Linked DNA regions of Oryzias latipes. The protein of the gene in region 1 purifies or fractionates together with the protein of each later gene. This does not show direct contact. Links are inferred from orthologs where the notes say so. Each region holds a gene or a part of one and is shown in the gene's direction. Other genes may lie near its edges. The genes, in order: tbpl1 and gtf2a1.

What was found.
Region 2: the proteins of tbpl1 (region 1) and gtf2a1 purify together in Homo sapiens (affinity purification with mass spectrometry; 5 studies listed by BioGRID and IntAct, counting the BioPlex papers as one, with this or other methods). This does not show direct contact. The link is inferred for Oryzias latipes from reciprocal best matches to the Homo sapiens genes TBPL1 and GTF2A1.

The regions. Positions count from the first base shown.
Region 1 is NC_019882.2:14,171,105-14,183,551, forward strand, and holds the start of tbpl1 (TATA box-binding protein-like protein 1), read left to right. Parts: upstream 1-6,357; 5' UTR 6,358-6,454; intron 6,455-7,262; 5' UTR 7,263-7,367; coding exon 7,368-7,502; intron 7,503-7,586; coding exon 7,587-7,669; intron 7,670-8,619; coding exon 8,620-8,683; intron 8,684-9,987; coding exon 9,988-10,091; intron 10,092-11,128; coding exon 11,129-11,223; intron 11,224-12,288; coding exon 12,289-12,371; 3' UTR 12,372-12,447. UniProt on the Homo sapiens protein: Part of a specialized transcription system that mediates the transcription of most ribosomal proteins through the 5'-TCT-3' motif which is a core promoter element at these genes. Seems to also mediate the transcription of NF1. Does not bind the TATA box.
Region 2 is NC_019882.2:4,164,326-4,175,791, reverse strand, and holds gtf2a1 (transcription initiation factor IIA subunit 1), read left to right. Parts: upstream 1-1,959; 5' UTR 1,960-2,168; coding exon 2,169-2,198; exon of another isoform or gene 2,199-2,235; coding exon of another isoform or gene 2,236-2,241; intron 2,242-3,477; coding exon 3,478-3,579; intron 3,580-3,689; coding exon 3,690-3,858; intron 3,859-3,949; coding exon 3,950-4,014; intron 4,015-4,435; coding exon 4,436-4,511; intron 4,512-4,587; coding exon 4,588-4,709; intron 4,710-4,803; coding exon 4,804-4,908; intron 4,909-5,008; coding exon 5,009-5,290; intron 5,291-6,281; coding exon 6,282-6,371; intron 6,372-6,886; coding exon 6,887-6,994; 3' UTR 6,995-7,580; downstream 7,581-11,466. UniProt on the Homo sapiens protein: TFIIA is a component of the transcription machinery of RNA polymerase II and plays an important role in transcriptional activation. TFIIA in a complex with TBP mediates transcriptional activity.

The DNA.
Region 1 (12,447 bases):
TCCCGCTCTCTTCCTCGTACTTTTATTGACATTTGGAGAAACTGTAAAGCCTCTTCGACAAGATAAGTGTACGACCTTGTCTGTGTATCCCTGTGTGTACCTCTGTCTCTCTCTGAATGGCTAAGATGGGGTTACTAATGAGCAAATGTTCATATGATGAAGCCTTTTTCCAAGAATCTTTTCTCCCAAATGCCTGTGGCCTTTGGATGACTCCCCGAGGAGACCATTAATTTAGATATCTCTGCACTCGTGTGTGAATATTTGTGCGCCAGCATGTGTGTGTGTGTCACTTGCTTAAAAAAGAAGGTTTTCTTTTTTTTTCTTGTTTGTTATGATTTATTACACTGCAAACCAAGTAAGTGCAAATCAATAAGACGTGTTTTTGAGTTTGCAAACATGACAAAGTGCAGCACACTGTTCAAACAACAAAATCCTTGGTTGCCAAAACAAAGTACCCCTTATCGTGGACTCCTCCTTCTCCTGACATCACTCTACACCTTTACCCCGGCTCGCTCCCCAGATGCCACCCAAAAACATCTTCTGTGTCAACACCTCCCACCCCCAGTCAGGAAAACGTATGAACTTGTGAACAAGCAGGGAAAGAAAAAAAGAGTTTCCAGCTTTTTTATTTCTTTGATTGTACATATTTAGAATTTAATATATATGAAACGGAACTACCTTCTGACTAACATGTTTTTATTATTTATTATTAACATGTCAAAGTTCAGAGTTTAAACATTCTCCATTCATATTCCATTTTGTATTTTTTACAGCACAGTCCGAATCATTTTATACCCGCTCTTAACAGTGGCATAAGTTATTGATCAATGTACCTTTAAATAATTCCTTAGATTATCTTAATTATTTTCATACCCCCCCCCCCCCCCCAATTCCTTCATAACTTATTTGTAGCTTTTACAACATAAAATTCTGTGGGACTTACAACATAATCAGATCCTTTGGATTTTATTAAAGTAATGTGTATGATGTTCTGTAACTGCCATAAATCCCTTTCGGTTTGCAGGGTTGCTGGAGCCTATCCCAATGACTGAATGTTAGGGGCCGTGGGCAGGTCATCAGTGCTCAACACCTGTTATTTTCTAACTTGATCTGAATTTGTGTTGAAATGTTCCTTACATGCCTCATCAAGTGTGAGTAGTACTTCCAATGTATAATACATGACAGTTGTTCAAAAGTCTTTTCTAATCTGGCGGTTTTGCTGCTTTGAACTATGACATTTTGGTTGGTTTGTCTGTAGTAATACAGACATTACTTAAGCTATAATTAGTAAAATTTTACTAAAAGGTTATTAGCAGTGCTTTACACCACTGAGTTACAGCAGAAAATCATGTTTTACTGTTTATGTGTTCATTAACTGCTGATTCAGGTTATAATTATAATTTTGCTTTGAAACGTGTCTCTTACACATTACATACAACAAATTATGAGTAATGTCAGGTCTGCCCCAACTCCCACCACAAACAGCTCTAAGCTATGGTGCTGTTCAGAACACGCTTCTCAGATTGTTTTCAAAGCAATTGTTTTCCACAGTGAGAGGAAGAATCCACTCCAAAAGGCTCACGGCGAACCCTTTCCTATCCAAACACTGTCTGTGCATCTGCATGACTAAACGGCCGACAGGTCCCAGTTCTCAGGAAGAAATACTGTTCTGTCACCAAAAGCCAAAGAGCTACAAAGGACTTTGCAATCTATCCATTTAGTATGCTTCATCTGTAAAATCAACAATAACAAAATGAATGGGAAAGTGGCTCAGATCCTCTCATTTAGTCCCCACAACAGGCTGTAAGTCCATGATGAGGCAATGCAGCTGCCAATCCACACATGTTACAGAAAGTGCTTAAATGGCCATTCCTAAAGTCACAAGATTACAGCACATATAAAGGGTGTGTTTTTTTTTTTTTTCCAATTCCCCATAAAAATGACGGAGGCTAAATGTTTTATGTCAAAATGAAGATTTTTTTTTCTATTTTGAAGAAAACTCAGATATTTTTCCTCATTCTTTGTTTTTTGTTGGGAACAATAAAATGGGAATTGGGCCACCGAGTAAAGATGTCATTTGGGAGGAACTTGACATTGGATTCTGACTTTGGTTCATGTAAACTTTGTTTTCATTGTAGTTTTTTTGTTTGTGTTTTATACTTAAACAAATGAATAGTTTAATTTGTCCAACAGTGGTTATGGAATGGAGGTATTTTATCCTTATGTGATTGATTTTAAAAAAACATTTCGTGCTGCCCTCTATTGGATGTTTGCAAATTAATGGTGTGAATTTCCTGTATACCAGCTTTAAACAGAGCTTTCTTTTTGTAATGGAAAATAATTTTTACTGAATATTAATTATGTAATATATCATTAAAATTGAGGAAAAATACTGGACCCGATCCTAATTCCTCAAGAAGTTCATGGGGATTCTTGGATTTCCTCCTGACACAGCTGCAGGAGTGTTTCCCTTCTGTTCTCATAATAGCAGGTGCTTTCTCTGTGGAACATGGCTGCATCAGATAAAGCTCACGGTCGTGCCACCCTTACCAAACCAGCCTAAACATGGACTCTGTGGTGTTTTTATATTTGACCAGTAAATCTGACACGGGGTCCATGGGGTGATAACATCTCAGAGTTCAAAGCCAGGCAGCTGGAAAAAATGTCTTTTCTTCTCTTCATCACTGATGTGTAATTCCTTTTGCCCCTACTTGTCCTGGTTATCCGGGGATGACCTGATTTCAGAGTAAAATATTGTTTATTAACATTTACATGACATCAGGACTTCAGGATGTGTTCATCTTATCGTGAGCATTTTTGTGTATTATTGTGGAATCCAGGATTTGCAGATTATGACCCCAAAAGTCCAGGCCAGAAGATCATTTTCAGACCCGTCAGATTCCCCTTGCAGAATCCGTGGATTTTCAGAACAGTCCCCTCCACGTCGTCTGCAGAGCTGAGTGGATATTTACACATGAGAGACCCGTGGGTTGTCTTTGCCTTGATGCCTGGTGGACTGGTCCCCAGTAAGAATGGAGATCGTATAAACAGGCTTGGTCATTCCCACATATCTGTTTACACTGGAAGACCTCTGAGCAGCATTACACGAGCACTGGATTCCCTTTACGCTGCAAGCTCACACACCATTAATCTCAGCCTCACACATAAATATAGGGACCAAGATACACTCTTTGTTTTCAAGTAAAATTCCCCCCCAAAAAAAAATTCAAGACATATTCCAAACATATTTCTCTGACATTTTATCGCAATGAAAACACAATTCCTATATTTTTTTTTTTTAGTAGAAAATTTCCAACCATGTTATATATTCAGTCTGTATATTTTTCACCTTCTTTAGGTCTTCCAAAGAGTCAAATACCTGATAACCATTTGACACTGGGCTAAAGGTTTATTTTAAAGCTCTGCCGGTAAGTCGCTCCAAAGCTTTTCTCTCGTAGCTCTTTTAAAATGAGTCTTTGAAGTGCATTGGACATAAACAAAACACAGGGGTCCTAACAAACACCCAGTTTACTGGCTTGACGGATCATCTATGCAGAGAAGACTCAGTTTAAAAAATGTATTTATATTTCTCAGGAAAGTTACAGGGACTGCTTGAACAAAAAGAAAAACATTCAATTCCTTTGGGAGATTGGAAAAAAAATTATGTGACTTTGCTCATTTTTATTTAACATAGTGATAAATTTACAGTAATCTTACTGCTAGGATTCTAGAGAAGAAAGAGTGACTCGAGTATTACCGGGCATAAAACCTTCATAGCTTAAAAGCCAAAGATAAACATTGGTCTGGACTGTATCTGTGCAAAACACCAATGCAGGCATCATGTTTCATAAGTAGCACCCCTCTTTTTTCATTAGCAAAATAGATTTCAAACTGGAAAGTATTAGACACGGTTGCCAGCCTTTTCAGGAGCGGACAGAAAGTTCATTCTAAGGTCAGGATTTGCAATTCCCAGAACGTAAATAAAAAAGAAAAAGATCAAACTGCCAGTTAAATGTCGGACTGCACAGGTTGAATGTTTGAATCTGTACATTTAGAAAACTGCTACGCGATTTGTTTGATTTTGTGTTTACCTGAAGTTCTTAAGTTCTCTTGAAGAAGGGCTGAGCAGCAAAGCTGAACCTTGTAGAGTTTTTCAAGATGCTAAGACTTTTAGTCAAAATTGACCTTAGCAAAAACTATGATGAAAAGACAAGCAAAAGCCTTTAAATGGAAAAGTAAGACATTTTTTTGCAGTTTTGGACCTGAGATGACTAAATATTTTATAATCAAATGTTAAATCATCTATCCAACAAGCTTAGCTTAAAACTAAGTGCTTTGAACTAAATTCATGAGTAAGTGCTTTGAGTTTTATTTGTTTATTTGAAGTTTTGGTATATGGAATTTTTTTTTCTTGTGCACATCCATTACTCCCTTGATGCTGCTTTTTTTAGTCTTTCCCAGTTGTTTTTTTTCCAGATGTTTTTTTAAGGACGCTAACTAACAGTGTTCTTTGAGGTATTTTTTAAATTAATCTTTCAGGTTTCATTTTGCCCCTCTCTATCTCTGATACTTATCTATAAAATCTCAAAACCTGATGGAAAATTTACCTCTTTTCCTTAAAATGCAGTGGTGGGCTCAAGTGTGTTTTTTTCCCATAGCCAAAAAGGAATGCCTCACTTTCTCATCATCTTTCTTTGACACGCTCACACAAAGTGATGAACCGTCTATTTACCCATCCGTGTATTTGCATCTCTTAAGTCATAAGTGCTTGCATCTGTGGGTTTACATGCAGTTTCTTAGGACCTAATGAGAGAGGATCATTGTTCCCCTGGGAAGAAGCTGCCCCAATGATATGCAGCCGAACAAACTGTAAACATATTCCTGCGCCCTGCGTCAGCCCTCTCACAATACACACAAATGCACGCTCACCATTATTGTTAATGGGCTGACTCTTCTAACCTGCTTTAAATCTAAACCTTTATAGTAAACATGTTAGGACAACTGAACGGGGCTCTTTTACAGAATGGAGACAACTTTAGGCTGTATTTCATCATGAGAAGCCAAAGAAGATTTAATGAGAGAAGGAAAGAGACAATTTGGTAACCTAGGAGGGAGAACAATAACAACAAGGCTGAATCATAAAGAAGCTATTTTTCTGTTTTGCTTGGGAGGAGGCCAGTCAAGTAAAGTGTTTTAGTTGTCTGAAGATGTAGAGAGGGTTTCACCACACAATGCACAAATGTTCATAAGAATGCAATAAGTCACAAATCTCCACATGTATAAACAAATAAAGAAAAGAAGGCGCATGCAAGCGAGATCTTCATAACTGTGCTTGGTTCAGGCAACTTTATCTCATGTAAATACTTGTCTTATCAGTTTAAATGTTCATGCGTAAAGTGAAACATCTCAATCGGAGAACAGCTGTTTGGTAAGTCTCTATCAGGGTCCCTAAAGATCATGATTTCTGCTGAATGTCAGCATTCCAGGGATTTCTGGACAGTTTTCATTGACTAAGTTGCCACAGGGCGGCTGTGAATTCTCTTATTGATAACACAAATTCTCCCTATGGCTCCCAAATCGTACTCCTTTTCTTTTGAGTTTAAAGCTGGTCAAAAGTTTTATGTGTAAAGCAGTCATCCACCAAACAAGATCATTTACTTTAGAGAATGCAATGATTGCAATGGTTCACTTTTATGAGTAATAGACAAATAGACAAAGTGCTAGCTGTAAATTTTTTAACATATTTCTCTTTTATATTCATGTTGGCGGATGGGACTGATAACAAATTCCTCAGAGCTTAATGTTCCTTTGTCCTACTTACAAGTTCAAATAAATCAAGTTTATTTGATTTTGCATATTGGTAGTACACATAAAACGTGTAAAAAAAGTTTGTTTTTTGATTTAATTGAACTCTTGGACGGAAATTGTTTCACAAACTAATTACTTTTCAAAAGTTCATGGGAACTGGATTGTCTCTTCAGTCTTACAGGATCCAATTAATACAATCCTCACCAAATATGCACAGTATGTAATAACTGTATTTGTACATAGAAAATGTTTTTTTAAATTAAAATTATGTATCTGTTGATTCTAAACGTTTTACGTTTTTATTTTTAAACTCTAATAGAACAGCAACAAAAAAATAGGTTTAGGGTCAAAGTTATGTCCCTCTCACAATTCATAAATTAGTTTTTTTAAGACACTATTTTGCTTTTTTGTTCTTTTTTATTTTTCGTAAGTATAACGTAAATCACTTTCCTTGTTTTTTGCTATTTTTTTAACCTTTTTTTTAAATGGTTTTGTAACTTATTAAAGACGGAAGTTGACCTGACGAAACCATTATTTTGAAAGGATAAACCGGAAATTGTATTTCATGCAAGGCAACAAACTCAGAAGGGGTTGTCAACAAACATCTGCTGTTGAAGGAAATATTTATGAGTGTAGCTACTCAGAGGTAACTAGAAAAAAATCAACATAATTCGAGGTTGTGTGCTTTATTTTTCTATAAAACGCATACTTTGCCATTGGTCAGCAAAACGACCTAAAAATTATGGAACTTGCACCCATTTTCGACAGTTAGCTTGTTAGCATCCGTAGCTAACAACTTTTCATTCAGAAGCCTCGTCTCCCCTCTTTGTTATGTGCTAATGGTTAGCATTTCTAAATGACAAACCAGTCGGAAACTATTTTTACTTTGACAGACTTATTTATGATCACCTAACTGCGACAGCAAATCAATTGTTGTATGTTTGTCAAATGTGCGTTTGTTATAAGAGACAGGCAGTTTTTGCTAGCCGGCAAAAGCTAGCATAAGTAACTTGTCATCTTTTGTTTATTTCTCGAAACTAAACAAAGTCGAATAGGTTTAGTCATGACAATGCAGGAAAAATTGTGTCCTTTCTCATGTAATTAGATCATACTTAAGTGCCAATATAATTAACAAATTGCGACTTCACTTGCTTAGGTGAACACTTCATTGTCATAACTGATTTCCTCTCCAAAAACTACTTATGAGTACTGGTACTAGAAATATGAATATGCATCCAGAATATGTGTATATATAGAGTCTGGATTATTGTTTGTAGTTGGTGTTTGTGCTGAAACAAGGGCGACAGCACATCATTGTTTAAACCCTTTTGAAAAATGTATTCAAGTATAGTGAAACACTAAGTTAACGTTTGTCTTTTTACTAATGTTCTTACACTCTGGAAAATATTTTGAAATGGGGTTTTAAACGCTAACTTTTTAACTGTTTTCTTTAGACTTTTGTCTCCTAAGTCAATCAAGGGAGTTATGGGGAAGGCCACTCTGATGCATGTGTGAGAGAAAAGGCCTGGTGTTCTTCCTGCTGCGCCGCACACTTCCTCATGGATTCCAGCAACGATGAGGCAGTCGACATCATTATCACTAATGTTGTTGCGACGTTTCGGACCAGATGTCACCTTAATCTGCGTACAATCGCTCTAGAGGGAATCAATGTCATCTACAAGCCGGAAGTAGGGGTGAGTGTGGAAAAGAGAGCATCATATAATGCTGACAAAGTTGCGTTTTTTGTTTTTGTTTTTTAAAGTTATCTCTTTATTTAGAAAGTCTTGATGAAACTTCGGAAACCAAGGATAACAGCCTCAATCTGGTCATCAGGAAAGATCATCTGCACTGGAGCAACAAGGTAAACAGTGTCAAATAAAAATGGGAATCCTAGTTAACTTAGCACACTTTGCATGTTGCCTTAAATTAAATAGTGTAAATATGATTCATTTGTTTGCAGTTTCTTGTTACCATGCCGACAGCTATCTCAGATGCTGTTTATTTTTTAAAAAATGTATGCGTGTACAATTTAATTTGGCAAAGTTTTTACACTTTGACTCAACTAAAGAGATTTTTGAATTTTAATATAGGTTGATTTTGTGTGGCTCAGAACTGTAACTAACTTGGCAGAATTCATCAAAAAAGTTGATATTCTGAAGCTAAAACAATTTTGGATCAAAATAAGATACAAAACTAGTTATTAGCAGGTTATAGGTATGAATATCAACAGTAACCCAAACCGCTTCAATTATTTGGAAAGTTTAGGTGAAATTCAAAACTGATTTTTCAAACTGATTGGCTGATTTGATCTTTTTGTGTCCAAACATTCACTTTGTCTGACAGAAAAATCTGAGAACGTTATGAGACGTTAAACAACTTCATTAATAAAACTATCATACATTTGTTTTATGAGTCAGCGGACAGACAAAGTCTAAATTAGAGGAATAAAAATAGTTTAAGAAATTGTTGTAAAGAATAAACATGATGTAAAAACTAACCACCAAAATAGAAATGTCTTTCATTAAAATCAAATCTGTGGTTCAAACCTAAATGTAGAATCACATTTTAAAATCTTTTGTATTCATCTTTAGGATTCTGTTTTACTATATATTTTTGTATAGTATGTATCTGTCAGTGTCAGTTATATTATAATCAGATGACATTGGATGGAATTTGATTGCTTTTGTGCCACTGCTTGTATATTTTATTCACAGAGTTGAGACGTCTGTTAGATTTCCCTCTTTGTTCTCAGTCATTTTTCATTTAGATATTACATAATAATTTAAAAGTTTCCTTTTGTCTCTTGTTCAGTGAGGACGAGGCAAAGCTGGGCGCTCGCAGACTAGCGCGCTGTCTGCAGAAACTTGGCTTCAAGGTAAGAATATACGTACTAAAAATGTTTAGTATTTCCTGATTATTCCCCTAAAAAAAGAGATCTGTTATTTTCATCACAAAAACCCATCAGATTTTAGAGACATAATGCAAAAAAAAAAGAATCCATAAAATCACAATGTTTCATTTTTAAAGAAGTTACCGTAGCTGTAAAATGATGGGGAGGATAAGTATTTAGACAATAGCAGAAGTTTACCTCAATACATTGCAATGTAATCCTGGCTGTCAGTGACAGAAGTTTGAAGGCTTTTTGTAAGTTTTCATCATGTTTGTTTTAGCTGTTATTTTGGTCCATTCTTCCATGCAGATCTTCTCCAGAGCTGGGATGTTTTGGGGCTGTTGCTGGGCAACACACAAATTCTCTATAGGACTGAGGTCCGGAGACGTACTAGGTCACTCCAGAACCTTGAAATGCTTTTTACCTAACCACTCCTGTGTTGCCGTGGTGAACGATTTAAGATCATTGATCATGTCACTTTAGGAAATAAGTTTTTGCTCAAAGATCCCGTTCATCCTCTCCTTAATACAGATCAGCTGTCCACTCCCTTTTTGCAGAAAATAAGTCCCATAGAATGATGACACCACCCCCATGCTTTACAGTGGGCATGGTGTTTTTGGAATGAAACTCAGCATTCTTCCTCTTCCAAACAAGCCGAGTGGTGTTTATTACAAGGAGTTCCATATTAGTCTAATCTTATCGTTTGACATTCTCTCAGTTCTCCTCTGGATCGTCCAGATGGTCTCTGGAGAACTTCACATGAGCTGGTTTAAGGGGACCTTTGGAGGATTTGAATCCGTGATGAAACTGTGTGTTACCAATGTGTTTTAATGTCATTTACACAATGTATGCCACTGATTGCTAGGAAACAACCAGTATAAAAAAAAGACAGTGATAGACTGCATGGCACAACCCACTACTGTGAAAATATCCAGCACTTGAACACACAGATAAAGCTGAAGATGTTGCTTTGCTGCAGGCTGTGGGCGACAGTCCATGAGCGTCTGAGCTCTACATCTATATAGAAGCTCCTGTTCTCTAGGAGAACCTCTAGCAACACACTGTAAAAAGAATGTGGGCTGAAAGATAAGTACGGATCAGGTGTAGATTGAGGTTATGTACAATGTGTACTCATCCTGGACAAACACGCTGCAGGACACTAACCCTCAGGTCTGCCACCAAAACTCACATGTGCTGAAATTGGCATAAACCAAATCAAGGGTAAAACATTTGACCTTAAAAAAAGTCTTGTAACTGAATTGGAACTGCATTTTTTATCCCTTTCACAGGTGAGGTTTTCAGCTTTCAAGGTTGTGAATGTGCTCGCCGTTTGCTCCATGCCATTTTCAATTCACTTGGTAGACTTCACAAAGAACAACCGGCCCATAGCCAGGTAACATGAGTTATTATATTTGTATAAAAACAAATATATTTTCAGTTTTGAATTATTTCTTGGAGATTTTTAGGCAAAGCAGTTGCAGAGCAATAGTTGGATTCAAAACATTTTACATTGTTCCCATTTATTTAACATCAAAGTGTTAAACTCATCTGTAGATGAAACATTTTGATTGATCGGTGAATCATATCTAGTGATGGTGACAGTCCTTTTTAAAACTGATATTAAAATTGAATTGTTAAAAGCATGATTGTTGTTAATGTTATTAATTGGATACATAGATTTGTCAGTAAAGTGCAGCTCAAATAAGTAGAAAATTGTTTTTGTCCTAAAACTTTCACACTATATCTTTTCTACATTTTTTAGTTCCTGTTTTTACCATTTAATGTAGCTTTCTGTATGGGAAGGGAAAAAGATTAGTTTTATGTAAAAAAAAATAATACATTAAAGAACAACCTACAACATAGCACAAATAAATCCAAGTAATCAATCAATATTATAATCAGTAATATGCCCTTTTTGTGTGAAAGAGGCCTTATTATCATTATTTATTATTTTGTAAAATTCAACATTTGAGATTTTTTAAAGCTGTGGAAATAAAATATTTAATTATTTTTTTTAGAATAAGGCAATGATAGGGAGATTAAAATAAGTCTTGTTAAAGTTTTTTGCAGTTTTTTTGTTTTAAGTTCTACTCATTGAGCCCATTTTTTTTTTTTTTTAGAAACAAGTCTTTTGTTTTAGGTTTCATAGATTAGTTGTTAGTTTTTATTAGTTTAAATTTTGTTCAGTTTCAGTGAAGGAAAAGTTGATTTTCTTGCTGTTTGCAAGAATATGGTGACCTCTAGTGGTTGAAACATGCATTGATTCTGCCTGGTGTTGCTGTTGTGAAATCAGGCCCTAAGTTGTTTTTTACGTTGTCACCCTGTAATTTTTATAAACAGTCTTCTTATTTAGAAAAAAGAGCTGCACTGACCTGTCTGTATCAAGTCATACTAAACCTTTGGTTTGCTGAACTTTTTATTTTTTGCCAGTTATGAGCCTGAGCTTCACCCTGCTGCTACATACAGAATCAAGAATATAAAGGCTACTGTACAGGTGTTTTCCACTGGAAGCCTCACGATTACAGGTAAGTTAGTTTACCCGTGACCGCAACAGGAGTCTAAAGAGGGCATCAGGAAGCAAAAAAAAAATAAAGTCAAACTCCATAAAGTCTGGAAACTCCTAAAAAAAAAGTGGCCTTAATGTTTCCATTGGAGGGGGGGGTGGTTTGTTGGTGAGAGTGTGTTATGTATTAACCTGTTAAAACTTTTGAGTCACTTTGAGTAAAACGTATGTCAGGAATCTGTCTTAAGAACCTGAGACTTGTTAGGTCAAACTAAAACAATTTCTTTAATGTGGTTCAACCAGATTTAAAAAAAAAAAACTGGAAACGAATAATTTTATAATTTAGAAATAAACCAAATGAATGACACATTAGGGAAGCCGAGTGTTTGCTCTCATTTAAAGCCCCACTTCGATAAAAACTTGTTCAAATGACAAAAAAAAAAAACGAGCATAAATTTGTATTTCTGAGTATTTCTTTATTCAAATCATTGTGAATCAGGAGCAGATGAAAAAATGCCATTTGAAGAAGATAATAAAATATACGGGGCACAAACTCTCGGCTCCATTTAGGACAATTAGATCCACGGACGTCTTTGTTTTCTTCGTCTAAACTGGCATCTGTCTGAAAACTGGACGGCCCTGATATTCAGCACCATTTGCATTGCTAATGTTAGGGTGGGGTCATGAGGGGATGTAAGCTAGCAGGAGAGCATGTAAACAGAGAGCTCTCAGAAACAGGGGATGTGATGACAGGCCCCCGCCACAACTCAGAAGTGAATTTCTATTGAACTACTGCCGCTCTGCAGAAACTACTGTGTGTCCTAAAAACCTGCATGATCATAATTAAAAGACCAAGATGATCAGAGTGGGGACTTTAAATGTGTGTCAGTCTGTTGTTGAGATTTTTAATATGATATTTGTTTAAAAGGATCATAGAAGTGCTGTCAGAAAACTAGTTTGCTGGATTGAGGTCATGCCCTCATTAAAAAAAAAGAAAAAGATTCCAGTTCCTGATAAATTTCACCAGTGAAAGTTTGCATTTTGAATGTTTCTGTCACCACATTCATACTCTGTCTTGACAATGCAGGACCAAATGTGCAGAATGTTGCAACAGCTGTGGAGCAGGTCTACCCACTGCTGTTTGAGTGTCGGAAACCCCTCTGCAAATAGGACAAAAAGAAGTCGCCTACATGATAAAAGAAGACTCAATACTGATAAGGAAACTCCTCGCTCCTTTTCTTTACGG
Region 2 (11,466 bases), about 10 Mb from region 1:
GCCATAGGTTAGAGATGTCAAATTGCAAAGCTGTTATCGATCGGTGAGATGCCATGCAGAGTACACCCAGGTGTTCCTTTTTTTATTTAATTTTTTTTATTCTTGTTGTTTTTTCCCCCCATCCACCCGGTAAATGTTCAGTTTTTCTCCCCTTATTGTGCAATCACATTGCCAAAGAATGATTTCAAGACCTATTTCATCACTACATGTAAATATCAACGTTGTCTAATACCGTGGCAAAAAAATATATAAATGTTGTTTTATTTTGTTTTCCATTTTCTGAACAACTACAATGATGTTTATGTGATGTATTGTCTTCCAGTTGGTTGCAATAATAAAAAAAATACAAGTTGCAGAAAAGATTCTTGCCTGTTTCTTATTTGCTGGTTTTTCATGAAAATCCATCTAATTGAAGCACTTTCCTCTCAAAGTCTGAAGTTAAATATAGTTGAGGATTACTAGTAAGCATAAATCCCTCCCTTAGCAGCATCGTTTAAACTTGAAACGCCATTTACTGGCAGTGTTAGCTTTAATTCACTCTCAAACCTGACCTCAATCATTAACCCCGCACATTCTCATCAACAAGAGGTCTTATCATAACCATGCTTCCTCTCCCAGATAATTAGTCATTTACTTCGTCTAATCATTTAAGTTCAATACTTCTGATTAACTACCCCCCACCCCTTCAGGGAGGGACGTAAAAGAGTTAAGTGCACCAAAGAGTTCCTCAATGTCTTATCAGTCTGAGTGGTGCCATTTTGGAGCCGTGTGGCGGTGGAAGCCCATTCATAATTGAAGTAGAGACCGGCTTAATCTTGAGCCAGTGGCTCCCTGTGCAGCACGCTCCCATCACAACACAACTGGAGCTTGCAGCTCCTCTGTTGCTATGCAACTACAGCAAAGAAGGGGGAGTAGGGAGTGGGGGGGGGGGGGGGGGTAAAGTGTGCATTCTCCAGATCTTTAGAGGGCATCATGCTTCTCTAATGTTACACCGGAGTGAAGCTCAAAGACAGCAATGCCCTAGCCTGCATATATGATCACATCCCAAACATTCATAGCATGGATCACTCGCTTGCTTTTTGATCACGTTGAACTTTGCTTCCCCTGTAATTATAGAAGCATGAGAGGGTGATCTGCAGGGTCAGATCACCCTCTCTCTCTTTTTTTTACATCTTCTTTAGATAATTTCAGTAAACACAGTTTTCAGAAAACACTGAATTGTTTGTGGATTGATGCAAACAGTCTTCCCTAGTCTATATCATCTATATCCACAGAGTGGCCAGGGAAGCAAGTTTCCATGGAGACTGAAGTGGAGTTAACAATGTCTACACGAAATTATTGCAAAGCTTTTTTTTAAGGATTTTCCCTTTGGTTGTGTATTTTTGGATCAAGTGAATATGATCTTAAATACTTCTTCAAATGTGCACAGATCTTCTTAATTAAAGATCACATATAGCACGCTGCATGTGAAAAATATGCCCGTCTCAAAGCTCCAGTGAAACACAGGTTATTTTCATGTGATGTTGTCTTATCGCCCTCTTGTGGCTGTAGAACGATACTACAAGGAACATAGAAATAAATCGGGCTTTTGGATTCAGATTTGAACCTTTTCGTTATAAAATAAAAGTAATGAATACAACACAGAATTTACTATACAGGAAAAATCTCGATTTAGCTGAAAAAGTTAAATCAATTAAAACTTGTAACCCTCTATTTGTAAACATTCTCAACACAATACAAACTCACAAACAAAAACAATGTAATTGTAATCATGGTTAACAATTGGATAATTTGTCCAACAAATCTAAAAAGCTAAGTATCCAATCGCATTGTGAAATTTACAATTTAAACTACATTTCCCAGCACGACGTCAGTGATTAGTCATCGTTTTTTGTGGCAAATCTCGCGCTATGTGCCTTTTGACCCTGCCCTATGTCTCGCGCACTCGCAGCTCCATCGCTCAGTATATAAAGCAGGACAACGACGAAAGGAGGACGGCTGGGGAGTCGCAGCCCGGGATTGTAAATAAGACCGTTAAAACTGTGTTTTATTTACAAAAGTAATGCCGGCTGTTTTAAAGTACCTTTCCCAGTTGTTTTAAGTCTTTTTTCTTAATTTTTGGCACTGTTTCTCGCCTATTTCCGTGTGGTTTTTACACTACGCGTATAATGGCGAGCTCGGCAAACTCGAACCCAGTGGTAAGGATCAATCTCTCAGGACTGTCAACGGGGGAAAATGGGGGTAAAGTTGATGGAAAAACGTGTCAACGATCTGTTTTTTTTTTTAATTTATTTTTTTTATTCATTACAGTAAAAATGAGTTTTACCAACACCGTTATGTCCATTCAAAGGAATACTCACGGTCATTTTTTTTATACCAGTTTTCGAAACTCAATGAAAAAAGAGCTTATAGAACTGATTACTTTTGTAGGACCCGAATCTCTTTAAATATTTAAATTAAATGTGATCAAAAATAAATTTTAAAGTTAAAAGTTGCCTGTTTATACGGTATTAGTTGTTAACGTAAGTGCTTCCGAAAACCTTCTGGACATTTTTTTAAAGCTAAATTGAGTTGAAATCCGCATTGAATGCGTTAGCTAACTAGTTAAGTTAGGGGTGCTCATTTTTGTTTACACGGGGGAAAATGTCATACTTATTGTCGCATAACTGTTGGAGGGGAGGGAAACTGATGTACGCAAAGCACATATGCACCATCCACTGCGACTGAATTTAGCTAAAAAAATTTTATTAAAAGCTTGGCGTCTTGAACGCTCTGTCAACTGCTTCTTCTTCATTGTCCTCCATTCCACGACCAGAGGGCAGGAGAGCCGTCCCAAATCACCCTCAACGCAACAAATGTCCCGCTCCAGTCAAAAATGTTTAGTCAAAACGGATCCTTTCATGAGATAAACCACCGAAACCGTCATCTTCAGTCCGCCATATCTTGCTAGTCGAGGAGGGAAAAGAGGCGCGCGCGCGCTTGCCGCTCTGTAAAATGGCTTCCTCGTCTCCTCTCTCGGTTCTGGCCCTCCTCCTTTCTGCTGCCTGGTTTTATACCGCCATATTGGCCGTCTAATATAGACTGCCCGGGATGGGACGGTGCTACACGACGCTACGTCACCGGTTCTTCACATAAACAGCAGACTGCGCTTTAAATAGTGCCGGAGCTGACGGGGAGGAGAGCAGAGAGACGGACATTCGGTGTCCCGCTTCTCGTTCTGCGTAGAAGCCAGAATGTTGTCCGTGACAGTTCCCCGCGCGTGCAGCTCTGTCTCGAGGGACGCGTTTAGTCCTGCTGACAAATGGATCAGTGCAGATTATTATATATGGGTTTGGATAATCTATCCATATACACAAGATGTGACCGTTTAAACTTAACACCTCTTTTATGAGTGTTTTCCTACATTTATTGTAAACATTTATATATGTTGAAACCACCACCAATAAATTGTGTATTTGCTCTGTTTTGTCATCATAGCCTAAATTATACAAGTCTGTTATTGAGGATGTGATCAATGAGGTGCGGGAGCTGTTCCTGGATGAAGGGGTGGACGAGCAAGTTCTTCTGGAGCTGAAAACGGTAATCCGTCTCATTTTACTGAGAGAAGGTTATAACCCCCCCCCCTCACACACACACACACACATGCAGCTCCGTGTTTGGTCAGATTCATCTGGAGTCTTGTCTTTCAGCTGTGGGAGAACAAGCTGCTGCAGTCAAAGGCGGTGGAGGGCTTCCACACCGAGGAGCAGGCGGCCCTGCAGACCGCTCAGCAGCAGCACCCGCACTCCCAACAGGCCCAGCAGGTGGCCCAGGCCGCGCCGGCCCAGCAGGTTATCCAGATTCCCTCGCAGCAACAAGGCGAGTCCGCACGTTGACATACAAACGTCGCCTGGACGTGTGTTGTTTTTTTTTTTTTTCAACCTGAAATAATGTGTTTTATTCTCAACAGCTCCCCAGCAGCAGGTCATAGTTCAGGACTCTAAAATGATACAGCACATGAATTCAACGGGAATGGTGAGTAGCATCTTACAAGCTGAAAACTGCACCGCCACACTTGAGAACCAAAAATTCTCCCAAACGTCCCGTTTTGTCATCGCACAAATCCACCCGGGGAATATCTGGGATAGTATCAAGGAAGCGACGGTTAGGAAAACTAGCCGGGCTGTGGGTTTTGGGAGAGGACTTTTTTTCTCAACAAGGACCTGGAGAACAAAACCGAGAAAGGGAAAAGCTTTCTTGTGGGGAGGCCATCTGTCTTTTTGAGCTTGAAACCTAGCCGCCGCTATAGCTTTTCCTTAAGTGATGGACCATGTTTGAAACCTTTAAGGCTTAAATGAAAAGAAAAAAGAAGATTTTTTCTTTTTTTATCACCTAGAAAATCCACCTTTTTGTGCTCTGGTATAATTGGAGCGGCTTTCTGTGTTTCCTCCTGCAGACCGCAGCAGCCACTGCAGCAACCCTTGCTTTGCCCACAGGGGTCACCCCCTACCAACAGCTCATCACAAGCCAAGGTAAAGCTCTCACCGTTCCTTTGGACTTTAGCGTGGTTGGATCTCAAAACGTTTTTTTGTTTTCCTGTTGATGCAGGTCAGCTCCTGCAGGTGGTCCGGGCTCCCAACGGGACTCAGTACATCATCCAGCCTCAGCAGCAGATCGTCCTGCAGAATCAGATGCAGCCTGGCGGCGTGCAGGCCCCCATTATACAGCAGGTACAGTCCATGTGTGAGGTCATCCTTTTGAGCATGAAACCAGTCTGGGAATTGATTTCTGAAAACTTGGAGTCCTTTTCTTGCAAACGTGCAGGTTTTAGCTCCTCTGCAGGGTGGACTGCCCCAGCAAGCAGGAGTCATCATTCAGCCGCAGCAGATCGTTTTGGCTCCAGGGAATAAAGTTCAAGGGACCACACAGGTCAGAGCACCAATTAATGTTTTCCCAATTATTATTTTTTTTGTGGGATGTTGCTCTAGGTTTACGTAATGACTCTGCTCTCATCTCTGGCTGCCGCCAGGTGATGCAAGCAGCAGCGATGGCGCCGCAGCCCGGCCAGGCAGCAGCAGCTCAGGTCCAGCAGGGGGCAGCTGTGGCCGCTGCTCAGGCCCCAGCCCAGCCGGCAGCCCCGCAGCAGCAGCCTCAGGCCCAACCGCAGGCGCAGCAGCCCGCCATGATGGTGCAGCTGGATGGAACTGGAGACTCGTCCTCTGATGAAGACGAGGACGAAGAGGAGGAATACGACGAAGATGACGAAGAGGAGAAAGATAAAACCGGTGGGGAAGACGGGCAAGTTGAAGAGGTGAGTGTTGAGCCAGTCCAGGGTTTATGGTGTTTTTAACATGTTGTTGTGGCATTTATAACGGAAATTAAGCTTCTAATTGTATTTCTGAGCATTTCACAGATGATTCCTGTCATAATTTGTGATCCCCAAGACGATTAAAAGTCTATTTATTCAGTTTGAACGATCCAGTTCGCTGATCTAAAACAGATCCATCTTTAGCCAAAACTTCCACTAGTGTGACTTACCTGAGTACTGAACAATACCTGAGTACTGAACGGCACCTGGGTACTGATATTTGAGTGTAAATTAAATGTGTACAAACATGTAAACAACAGTTGATTTCAAATCAGATTACATTTTAGTTTCTTAAAGTTTGGACCACTAATGTTTTTCCACATCCAGGTAATCCAAAGGGAACATTCTAGCACACTGGATGGTCACATGACTTTGCTAAATTGAGTGTTTCCACTCATTGGACCGGAATGATGGAACCGATCGTTTTTTGCTGACATCATGTCTATGTGATGGTCGTTTTTTACATTGTAGTGAAATAAACCTGCCAAGTCTCAATCCAAATGGTATTTTCTAAGATTGAGTATTCATTTCATTTTGAAACATTTTTTTATGGTGTAGGGCGTTTCAATGAACAACTTGCCTCGAAGAGATAAACCTGGATGGATCTTAAGATAAACCTATTAAATTGATCGTTTTAATCGACCAACAACTGCGGTTTAAAAAGATCGTATTTGTGACGTAGATAATACCTCGAGCTTCCTGCTCCAAGTCCTCTGCTGTGGGATGAGGTCGCTCCACGTCACTGATCCCGCCCACAACTCGGAGGCAAATTTCTAATGAACTTTTGCCGCCCTGCAAATTTTTTTTTTTTTTTTGGGGGGGGGGGGTTAAAAGCTGCGTAATAATTTTTAAAAGACCACTGGGAACGCTTTGAAAATCGATCAAAAGATGATTGGAGTGGATCTTTGAAGTCTTTGGGTTTTTTGGTCACCAGGAGCCTCTGAACAGTGGAGATGATGTCAGTGATGATGAAAACCAGGAGCTGTTCGACACGGAGAATGTCGTGGTGTGCCAGTATGACAAGGTAGGAGATGAGCGTCAAGCTACGTTCACGTTTAGCCATCGGTGTTCACACTGGACTGTCGCTACCGGTGCACGCACTCACCGTTGGAAGAGGCTTGGTCTGAAATGTTGAAGCAGTGCAAATCTTTGCCCCAGGCCTTTTTCCTTCAGTCTGATGTATGAAAGACTTGATGTGACGTCATTCTAGCCGAGCACAAGCCACAGTTATTGATTACTCCCTCATAATCAATTAATCAAAGGGTTGGCACTTCCATGTTTTGAAAAGGACGCCATCCATACGTCCCTACTAAAGCAGAGTCAATTGGTTGAACGTTCAGCGTGCGTTCAATTGTTTCCTTGACTTAAAAACGTGTAGCGACCCGTGAATGTGACAGTTTTGACCGCGGAAGCCCAAAAGGGTTACTTAGACTTTTTCAATGGAAGTGATCGGCGGTGTAGCATCAGGGTAAGCTCCAGCAGCATCCCTCTGTTCTGAACTCTCCCATTCTTCTCCTCCTCCTCTTCCTCGCTCCTCAGATCCACAGAAGTAAGAACAAATGGAAGTTCCACCTGAAAGACGGGATAATGAACCTGAACGGCAGAGATTATGTCTTTTCCAAATCCATCGGAGACGCCGAGTGGTGAGGCGGGGGAGACGGGCGAAGCACGAACTCCTAACTTGTTTTTATCCAGCAAACTGATACTTCAGCGTCCTTTCACATCCTGCGTCCGAACTCCTTCAGGAAGGTAAAGCGAGAGTCTTTGAGAACTCATCCAACCCAAAGGATTGCTGTAAGACATGACACGTGGAAAAACACTCGACCAGCGTTTACGGGATGAGAAACCGACAGGACACTGGAGAGCCTGTGAACAGAGCTTTTTTGGTTTATTTTTCCCTTTAAGGCTTCTGCCTTCTTCTGACAAAATTCCCCCAAAACAGTCATTTCATGTCGTACAGGTGTTGCGGACCAGAAGGAACTCTGCGGTCTCTCATAACCCGATAGACACACATTTTTAATGCACTGTAATCGGTCGACTGGATTCATGGAAGTCCAAACTTAGTGCCACCAGTCAGAACCGCTGCCTTTTAGAATGACTCAGCTTTTTTTTTTGGTTGTAGTTTTGTTTCCATGTGAAAAATGAAAAATGGTGCTCCAAATTGTTTTATGTAGTCCAATCTTTTTAAAAAATTATCTTTTAGCGTCAGATCCGAGGCTCCTGGGAAAAACAAGGTACAAAAACAATCTTCAAAAATCAATTTTAATCCACAGATGTTTAACCCCGTTTTGCTGGAGCTTCATTCCATCTTTTTTTTTTTTTTTCAAAAAGCCCCAAAGTTCATTTTGGGATTGCATAGAAGATGTGAGGCTGCCACGCCGGTGTATCTCCGCTCTTCCTTTAGTCAGCTGCAGCCGTGGGAGGACTTGCACTGTGGGTTTATCGACGTCCGTGAGCTCAGTCAGTCCAGGAAATCCATAGCAGCATCAGCAGCAGCGAGGTCTCTTCTGTTCATTTGTGTGTGAGACGCGGATCGACGGTGCAGGCGTGCGATAGCTGCAACATACGTCTTTCTTTTGCACACCTTGCAGTCTCAAAATGCCAGTCACACTAGAGAAGGGGAGGGGTGCGCATCATCTATTTATTGTTAAAAGTTCACGGGACGTTCTTGGAAAGATCTGAAAGCCGCACCAAACTGTGCTCTTATTATCCAGTAAGTGTTCCTTTTTAGTTTTCTTCTTCAGCTGGACAAGCGCTACATAAATGTTTTTCTGTCTTATTTTACGCTAAACTTTTTTTTTTTGTATCAAAGGTGAGTTTAACTGGAGGGGGGGGGGGGGGGGGGGGCTGTGTGTTTGTTTCTGCAGTTTGACTCGGTTCCCCCTTTCCAGCAATCTGAAATAAAGCCTGTTTTTTTTGACTGTCCTGTCCGTTGGGTTGTACATTTCTAAAAAAGAAAACACAAATTAAAAATAAATAAAAAAGTAGCCACATCTGCACCATGACTATAAAATAACAACATGCACACGGATCAATAGGGCTTTTCTTTTCACCTCTGAATCAGCCTGTGAAATCTTTGGTTCTGCACATTTTCTGTATATTCCCATTTCTCTGGATGTCGTCTGTGCCTTTTTTTAAACTTGAGTTCTGTTTGGGTTTTCTTGTGTCTTACCCACAACTAATGGAAGGATGTCCATGGAAACTGTATTCTTTATGTTTTAACTGCTGTTGAGATATTTAAAGAAATGTAATTTCATTTAATTTTTCCTAAATTAAAAAATGTTTGCAACAAAATAAAGGCTCCTGCTTTGAATTTCCAGCTAAAAAGGGAGTTTTAATGGGCTGGAAGTACTTTATTGGAGCTCAGAATTTGAATAATTCCTGCTAATTTGGTTTCTTTGCCTTTAGCCAGTTCAGATGTTTGTCTGTTATTTATTTTTTTTAACTAAAATGCATGCTTTGTTTTCCAGGTATCCATTTTTTTACTCTGCTATGCTCCCCCAGTCTGTCTTTTCATTGCTTAAAGTTATTTAATGATCTCCTTTACCTCTTAAAAACCCATTCTGATGAAAATCACGGTAACATGTTCTTGTGGCATTTTTCTGACAATGCAAGACGTATATTGAGAAAATTAAGCTCATAATTTGAGTATTTCTGATTCCCAGATGGAGAAGTGGATGAAAAAATGCAGTTTAAAAAAGAAAAGTGTATTTGTGACGTAGAAAATACATGGGGCGGGGCCCAAACTCTGCACTCTGCTTCATTCTTGTGGGCATCCATGTACATCTTGGTTTTCCTCGTCTGAATGGCAGTAAAGTTAAGCTACAGCATTCTTGAAAGTGTCTTTAGCCCAAGGTGTTCACACTGGACAAGCAGGGAGGGGCTATCTTTTCCTACTGCTTACTGGCACGTTGGAAGAGGTTTGACTTTTCATTCGAAGTGAGCGCTTCAACGTATTGCTGACTGGAGTGTGAAGGTGAAGGTTGGGGTTGTGACGGGGCAGTGAGCTAGCAGGGAATCCTGTAAACGGAGAGCTCTCGGCATCGAAGGGGAGCGGTGTTGCTCCACAGCAACAACCCCCTTCACAACTTAGGAGGCATATTTCTAACAAACTACTGCTGCTGTACAGGACCTAGAAAACAACAGTTTTGTTTGATTTTTAGCTAAAAAAAACGGCACAATTCTAATAAAAAAAACACTGGGAACGCTTTAGACGATGATCGGAGTCCTTTAACGGCTCTTCTGCTTGATTTGTCCAGAAAGGTTTTTCGTGGTTTGAATGAATGAAAGAACCTCCACTTCTAATGCACTTTGCAGTGCCTTAACAATGAAAAAGATTAAAAGAAAATGTTAGAATTGAGAATAAAAAAAAAAAAACAGCATAAAATTACAACAGGCAATAAAAAGGTTATTCTTTAGTTGACATTTGAAATTTTATGCGCAGTTTTGATGAGATGTTAGTCTATAACTTGGGACCAGCGATGGAAAATTCACCATAACCTCAATGTTTGTGTCGTGACCTGGACACACGAGTGGTTGGTAAACCTTAAAACTCCAGAATGGCTTCGGACAAAAGCTAAACAGGTGCAAGATCACAAAGAGCTTTCTAAAGAAGAAGGAAAAGTTTAAACTAAATTCTAACATTCATAAATCATATTTTCCCCCTTCAAAAACAGATGAGTTTTCTTTGAACTCGCTGGATTTAGCGTCTTGTCTTCAGTTTCACGCTCCGGCACCTGGGTGTTCTCCCTGCCAGTCCACTAATTCCTACCCAAACTGACTCAATCCACGAGTATTTCCTTTTTGGTCATTATTAGAGAAAGGTGCGGTTCTGTCTGGAATTTAAACCAAATCGCAAACTTGCGTGACATTTTGGCCCTGGACTGTAAATGGATTTGAGACAAACTGCCCCTCTGGGTGGACGTGTCACTCCACGCCATCAAGCGGAATGTGTATGTGGCGTTTTGTGATGAGGCGGCTCCTCTTGCTGCTTTCAGGCAGCGGAGTGACGCTTGGAACAGAACCCTGGAGATGTCTAGCTAAGCTTTTGCTGCTCTTTCATTCTAGCAGCTGACTCGCAGCGACAGCCGGTCAGCAACACGGCAGAAAAAAAGATTATTGGCCTCAGAAGTTGAAAAAGCTGACACTGCTGGCTGTGGAATGCTAAAGTTACCTGCTTTCAGAAAAGGAGAAGCTCACAGAGACAAAGAGAACCTGTACTTCTTCCTCACTTCGGCCTCTGATCTCACGGCTCAAATGTGCCGTGTCCAGCAGCTAGGAGACAGATTTATTTTAAAAATGGCATGAAATTGTATTTCCTGTCCAAGTGGAGGCCTGAACAAGTCTCTTTTTCTCAAACTGTGAACTGCCAAACACCTTTCCTTAACTTTTACAATTCTCCAAAAATGAAGTCGTGCAGAAGGAAACCAAACTCACTGGAGCCGCTTCACCTGCTTTGTGCAAGCTTCTTTTTCAACTCCAAGCTGCTGCGTCGCAGATTGATTCATGCCATTTAGGAACAATTGAGGTGGGTTACAGGCTCATTTTAAAGACGTTTAGCTGAATGTAAACCTCACACCCTAAAGCCCATAGGCACATCGCTTGTATATTGTCAAAATTGACCCTTATAATCAAACACAATATAAGAGTTCCCCTCCTGTAATCTAGACATTCTGTTTATGCCCCTTGTCTAAAGGGTCAAAAATGACCCACCTTGCTAAAGCCTCAAAATAAAGCGCCTTCATTGAACTTTAAGTCTAAATTCTACTGTGCATGATGAAGCATCCTGTTCCCGAATAATTCAACGCAGTTTAATTTATTTTTCATCAAATTTTGTTACACAATACAAAAAACAAGCAGTGAACATAACAGCAAACCCGCCCCCAAACTGTTTTCTGTAATACACCCAGAGGTTTGTTTTTGCATTTATATAAGTATGAAATAATTACTTCTGAATTAATGATATTGAAAAAAATGGCTACAATCTTGAATTCTTGGACAACAGTTTGGTCTTTTGTATTTTTTAGAAAGTGTGTGGATTTATGAATTCACCGTTTGTGTGTGGCCTTTGAACTATTTCTGGTGTTTAGATAGATGCCTTTTATAATTCATGGGTCAAA